2 linked regions of the Daphnia pulex genome follow. The protein of the gene in region 1 interacts with the protein of each later gene in a pairwise test. Links are inferred from orthologs where the notes say so. Each region holds a gene or a part of one and is shown in the gene's direction. Other genes may lie near its edges.

Region 1 (3,554 bases):
GTAGTGTTTTGGGCAGTTCAACACTTCGTAAGGTGACAGTCCCAGTCATCACCAATAACGAATGCAAGTTGACTTATGGCAAACTCGTCTCAGATAAAATCATTTGCACTAGCGGAAACAATTATCGTGGAACATGCAACGTATGAAACGTCCATTGCCCCATAATGTGTTCTGTTTTCTAGTCTTTATGAATCATAAACTTATTCATGTTCAACAGGGTGACAGTGGCGGCCCAATGAACTACAAAGGGTCGGACGGCTCGTGGAAGCAAATTGGTATCGTTTCGTTCGGCTCGACTGAAGGTTGCCAAAAGAATCATCCAAACGGTTGCACCAGGATCAGCTCGTATTCGTCATGGATTCAAAGTATCATTTCACCTTCATCATCTTCCACAACATCCACGAAAATCCCCACAACCGCCTATAGCTCGACAACAAATAAGGTGACTACAACACAGCCGTCTTCCGGTGGTCATCAAACTTCCGCCTTCTTATCGTCGTCACTCATTTCAATTCTTCTCTTGATTATCTGTATTGGACCCATTTATGGAGTCTGAAATTGAGATAGCGGGCATGACTACACATTTATGCCATAGTTGATCAAATAATCTATGGCTAGGCAAGTATACATTACATTTCACGAATTATAAATTGTTTGCAATTTAACAGAGTGATGAAGTTTATGCAATCAAAAATAATTAAATTGTTGAAATATTAAGAGCTGTGCTCTAATAAATAAATAGAAAATGAGTTTTACCTAGAATTTATTGTCCTCGCCTTGTCATTCAAATGAGCTGCAAATAGTCTAGAGACTAGCCTTGGGAAATTAATAGAAATTATTTCTTCAAGTTCTAAGAAAAGGCGAAAGTATATGATAGGCCTGTTTGAATCTTCTAGCGGTTGGATGAAAAATTCCATTATATTGCGTAAGCTATCATATAATGCAATAAACTAAACTTCATCAGCCGGCTTGATTAGATACCAACAAACCGAGACGTAACTTGTGCCATAAATCCTGGGAGCAGATGAGAAGGCGTTTTGCGACACACCCCACACCCTAAAAAGAAAGAGGAAAAGAGAAAAAAAAGATATAGAGTCAAATCCCAATCCCAAAGAAACCTTTCAGGCTTTGAACGGACGGAAATTTTAACTTTGGCGCGCTAGATGTTATTTACATAGATGGCGTGGTAGCCATCTAGCGAATGAAGTCGGAACTATTTTTACTATTTTGAGTAATGGCCGTCAGCAGTCCCCAAAGTGGTCAGCTGTGTTGGTGTTGTTTTATGACAGTTTCAGTGCTTACAGTTACATGAGTATTACAATTAATATTTAATATTGGTAGCGTTTAATCGAAATGCCCATACACGATAATGATCGTCATGCAGTTGTCCTAGATATCGGACGAGCTTACACCAAGTATGTTTTGTAAACAATTTGTCTGATGAAGTTCCAACTGGTACATTATTCACTTACTGGTTGACAGGTGTGGTTTTGTTGGTGAAAACGAGCCGCGAGTCATCATTCCATCCAAATTAGATGGCTCCAAAAAAGGTGAAGGAGTTTACCTTCATGAATATTCCAGTGAAAAAGAACTTCATTTCAATCTGGTCAAATTTCTCCACCACATTTTCTTTAAGTATTACTTTTATAAAACTTGAATTCAACTGAAAAAAACTAAGGTTTGGTTTTACAGGTATTTATTAGTCAATCACCGTGAAAGAAGGATTGTGATTGTGGAATCTTTACTATGTCCTACAGAGTTTCGTGAAATTCTAGCCAATGTCCTTTTTGTTCATTTTGAGGTACTCTACCAAGCATTGTCCCAGATACGATTGTGAGAAACATTTTATTTTAGGTACCATCTGTCTTGTTTGTGCCTTCTCACCTTGTCACACTTTATACCCTGGGGATCAACACTGCATTTGTGATTGATATTGGACATGAGGAAACAACGATGATACCAGTTTGTGAAGGAACTCCTTTGATTCATGCTTGGCAAGCTCAACCTCTTGGAGCAAAAGCCATTCAAGGGTAATCATTCACTTGAACACAAATTTTTTTACTTGCAATGAATATTATTTAACATGTAGCTGTAAATATTTTCTGATTCAGCAATATGACATTACTAATTGTTGAAATATTTTCAGGCGGTTGGAATCTCTTCTATTGCTACGCGCCAAGGTCCAGGGAAGTGATGGTCAGAAGGTTGACTTGGTTGATGTCATTCCTAAACTATCACGTGGAATCTTAGAAGACATTGTGGTGCGCACTTGTTTCGTTACTACACTGCCAAGATCCCGCCAGCTTGTTGCTTCCCGGACAAATGAAGCAGGGCCATCGCCCCCTGTTCCCCCTCCTACCATTCTCTATCCTTTGTCCGGCAATAATAATTTGACTCTTGATGGATCTGTTCGTGAAGAGTCAGCCGAGGTCCTCTTTGAAACGGACAATGAGATGGTTTCACTCGCTTCGATGATTTTGGATAGTATACTCGCTGTACGTAAACATCGTTAAAAAAGTTTTCCTGATTATAGATTGATTTTACGTTGATTTTTGTAATTTAGTCGCCAATTGATTTTCGAATTCCACTAGCGGAGAATTTGGTAATAACTGGCGGGGGATCAATGATGCCTGGACTAAAATCTCGTTTAGTGTCGGAAGTAAAGGATCTCCAGCAACATCCAAAGTACTCAAGCCGGATTGCTCTTAAGGCCCTAAAAGTTCATCGGCCACCAGCTAAATCAAACTATGCCGCTTGGCTTGGAGGTTTATTTTACTCAAATTATACCACGTAAACTGAAATCAATTAAAATATATTTTTAATAGGGGCTATTTTGGGAGCAACGGAAGCGATCGCCACACGCAGCTACACTCGCGAAGTCTACTTGCAGACTAATCATGTTCCCGATTGGAATAATTTAGCGGATAACACCAAAGAAATTGATAGTAGAGCTGGTTAACTAAATAAACAGTGCTAATAAATCAGTTTTTTTCACAAAATAAAAGTTAAACTATCGTCAAGACGTCAACTGCTTATTTAAACTATTTCGAAAATAAAAAATTTAATCCTTGGAGTTATTAGCTAACTTGATAGAGGCATGCATAAACTAAACTAGAATTCCTGAGCCCTGAAAATTCTTTCTTTCTAAATTCCACAATGAATAAAAAATCCGTAACATTTGGTTAATGGTTTTCCTTTATTTTAAATTGACAAATCGATTTTTAATCTTCATCGATATCTCGATACTGTCATTCCGAACAGTCGTCTGCTAAAAAACGTGTTGCTGTAAATTCTTTCAGAAAATTTTAGTTTAAACTGTCATTTGAATTCAATTCAGTTGATAAAGGAAACTGCGAAAGTTTTCTATTGGGAAGGTTTCAGTTTATCACTTTGTTCTATTGCCTACTGCCGGTGATCTAAAATGGGTGAGGAAATTTCTGCAGTTCTAAATTTCATCAGTGAAAGGAGTGTGGAAGAGGCTATCGAAAAAGTTGTGGACGAGATCAAATTAAGTACCAATCTTGATCACAGTTGGAAGGTTCTTCATCATCTAT
Region 2 (3,250 bases), on another chromosome or scaffold:
CTATCGAAGAAGCACTTTGTTGCCAACCTCGTCCCGATACTGATCCACCTCCCGTTCACCTTTGAATTTTTTTTGTTTTCTAGAAATGAAGAAAGAAAATTAAAACGACATCTTTAAAAACTCTACCAGTCCTTTTTTCAACAACAAAAAAAAAATGCCCATTATATTTAAATTACTTTGAAATCTTTTTTTCAATCGAGCACTCGTGTAACACTGCACAACCTCAATCATATCATATTTCTTTTGTCTCTTTTTTTTGAGGGGGGGGGGAGAGGGGGTTTGGGTTTTTTTTTTTCTCAGTCATAGCTCGCCTTTGGCTACCGCATTTGTTTGTGCTTATCGAGCGAGGAAAAATAAGAGTCTCTGTGGGATCTGATGTGCATCTAGCGTTTATATTGTGTGTGTCCCTTTTGTTCTTTTCTGGTAGGAGAAGAAATATTCATCATTTGAAAAAGAAAAAAAAAAAATAACTTGAGCCAAGATCTCTTTCGACAAAGTCAGCTTTTCACTTTTTGGGTTTTTTGTTTCAGTTTTTGGTGTGTTTCTTTTCGTTTGTTTTCGCTGTGTCGTGCATACCGTACACCATTGGTAACAGTTGTCTAATAAGTAAACATGTTGCAATTATCTTATCTATCTTGCAGGGCAGAGAGATGGATGTATCAACTCACTGTTAGTCAATATACTCTTTTTTTGCAGTACAACAGCATCACATCATTGTCTATTCATTTCCGTGCCTGCTTGATGAGCAGAAATCAATAAGTGATTTTCTCTTTTCAGTAGCTCTCCAAAGCGGAGCTGTTCTTTACATTTTGAGCTTCTTAACCTCATAAGACAAGCCCTTCAGGGTCACGTGTTCAATTTTAGAATGCCCTGTAATAGCCTGCAATATTAAAGAACTGGGTACGGCTTCGCTATCGCTAAGTAGAGAAGATTACGCTATGGCGTTCAGTAAAATATTATTTATTTTTTATTTTTTAAAAAGCGATCAATAAAAATAAAAACATGGTAGTGATTTTAAAATATTAATTATTATTTTAATTCATAAGCAAAAATGGTTATGCAGAGTTATATATAATGCAATTTGGAGGCGAACCTGGCGACGACATTTCGAAAGTCGCGCACTACGTCACGCATCAAAACAAAATTAAAAAAAAAAATTACTGCCAAATTATCTTTATAATTATAATTAATTTATCCATAAAATATTTGTAAATTCTAAACAATGATTTACCGTATTTAGTTTTAAATATTTATTGAAACGATGAGCGAATTGTAATAGTGTTTCAATTGACTATCCCTATACACCAGCCCTAAACACAATATTCTTCTACGGCGCCACCGCCATCTTCCTCCTCGCCGCGATCTCGTGTGCTTCACGTGCCTCAAACATATTACAGGTTCGTTTTAACAGTTTCCCGCAGTTCTCGTCCTTAAATTTACTTGTTATATATCTGTAACTTGTGAAAAAGTGAAGTAAGTCCGACTACAGTCATGTTGAACTGCTGTTCTTCTTATGAAGTGACATTTGACAATTCGTTAAAAACAGCAAACCTTGGCCGCATGGTCTTAGTCGGTTAAAAATAGCCCTCATAATTATTTTTAGAGTATACAGTGATAATTTGTTCATCTTTTTCATGTTTAACCTTAATGTTAACTGATTTAACAATGTTCTTCTTGTTTTGCAGAATGAATGCAGAGAAGTTGGCAAAATTGCAATCTCAAGTGAGGATCGGGGGCCCTGGTACTGCTCGCAGGAAGAAGAAAGTTGTCCACCGTACTGCTACCACTGATGACAAGAAGCTTCAAAGTTCCTTGAAAAAACTGACAGTCAACAACATCCCTGGGATTGAGGAAGTCAACATGTTCAAGGATGATGGTACAATCATCCACTTCAACAACCCTAAAGTACAGGCTTCTCTAGCGGCAAACACTTTTGCCATCACCGGTCATGCTGAACACAAACGTAAGATCTCACAAAAGTTAATGCCATTCCCAAGTTTATTAATTTCATCTGTCATTGTTTGTTTGCAGCCATCACTGATATGTTGCCAGCTATCCTCAACCAATTGCCAACTGAAAGTTTGGCACACTTGAAAGAAAGGATAGTAGGTGCCTCTGCCGGTGGACAGGGTGGAGCATCATCGGCTACGCTACCGACAACCGAAGAAGATGATGAGGTTCCCGATCTAGTTGACAACTTTGACGAGCCAAGCAAGAAGGAGGCGCCCACTGTTGAGACCAAGTCGACAGCCGAAGTCAAGGTAGCTGAAACCCCTGCTGCTACAGCTGCCGAACCAGTCAAAGCTGCGGAGACTCCCAAAGCAGAAGAATAAACATGAAGACGGAATACCGGCAACAACGTGAAGGATGCAGTCGGAACAAGCAGGCGCCGGCAAAAGGAAAATCAACCTTGACTGTTTTCTATTTTGTCTTTCCTTCTCCCTTCACTTTTCTAGTTTTTTTTTTCCTTTTTCTTTAATTCCTTTTCTATTACAAAAGGATGTAATCCTATGGTCCCACTTTAGGCCATTACTAATCATGGGAAAGCAACAACTGTACTCGTATTACACACTGAACGAAAAAGAAAAACAGGGATGATTTCTTATTGTTATTGGCTGTTTGTGAAAGTCCTCAGATCAAACAGAGAATGAGCTTCTGGCTGCAATGTTTCCCCGTCATAAAAATCTTAATACACCATCAATTGATTAGTAACTTGTTTAAAATTTATTGAAAAAAGAATCCAACGGTGCAAAACATTTAGGGTACTGAGTAGTTGTAAGAGTAACGTGAACTTTTTCTTTTACATTGCATCTTCCCACTGCAAACAAATTTCAATTCAATCCAGGTGAGGGGATCAAGGAGAAATAGGAGTTGGTAAGTCCCAAATATAGTCACCTGGTGTAGCAGGGATCAGGCCAAGGAAACATCATTCACTTCAGGCAGGCCAGCATGAAGGAACTCCACCGTATAGTAGGTACTAATGCTCTTATATGCATACTAACATATACTATCATATGTACTACACACATTTTCCTCTCCAGCAACACGGCCAACTGGAACTTGTCCCGCAGCGTCAGCTCAGTGGGCGAGAGACCCCGCGACACTTTCTCGATGCCTCTTTACTGCCAAAACATGGGCCGAAACGTTCGGCCGGATTCCATCAGAACGGAAAGGATAAGGGCTGCGTCAAGAAGTCAGCCAGCGATTTGACGCTCATCGAGTCGACGATAAACGGACACCAGCAGCAAAA

Evidence for each region. The genes of interacting proteins can lie anywhere in the genome.
Region 2: the proteins of actin-related protein 10-like (region 1) and transcription factor BTF3 homolog 4-like interact in a two-hybrid assay, tested with the Drosophila melanogaster proteins (2 studies listed by BioGRID). The link is inferred for Daphnia pulex from reciprocal best matches to the Drosophila melanogaster genes Arp10 and bic.

The regions. Positions count from the first base shown.
Region 1 is NC_060027.1:4,051,252-4,054,805, reverse strand, and holds actin-related protein 10-like, read left to right. Parts: upstream 1-1,215; 5' UTR 1,216-1,353; coding exon 1,354-1,415; intron 1,416-1,482; coding exon 1,483-1,635; intron 1,636-1,692; coding exon 1,693-1,801; intron 1,802-1,854; coding exon 1,855-2,030; intron 2,031-2,146; coding exon 2,147-2,495; intron 2,496-2,563; coding exon 2,564-2,765; intron 2,766-2,825; coding exon 2,826-2,959; 3' UTR 2,960-3,020; downstream 3,021-3,554. Other genes in the region: brachyurin-like, read left to right, coding at 1-140, 218-556; probable methyltransferase TARBP1, read left to right, coding at 3,422-3,554.
Region 2 is NC_060019.1:5,796,314-5,799,563, reverse strand, and holds transcription factor BTF3 homolog 4-like, read left to right. Parts: upstream 1-1,238; 5' UTR 1,239-1,397; exon of another isoform or gene 1,398-1,473; intron 1,474-1,490; exon of another isoform or gene 1,491-1,604; intron 1,605-1,685; 5' UTR 1,686-1,686; coding exon 1,687-1,963; intron 1,964-2,031; coding exon 2,032-2,333; 3' UTR 2,334-2,712; downstream 2,713-3,250. Other genes in the region: tyrosine-protein kinase transmembrane receptor Ror2-like, read left to right, coding at 1-65.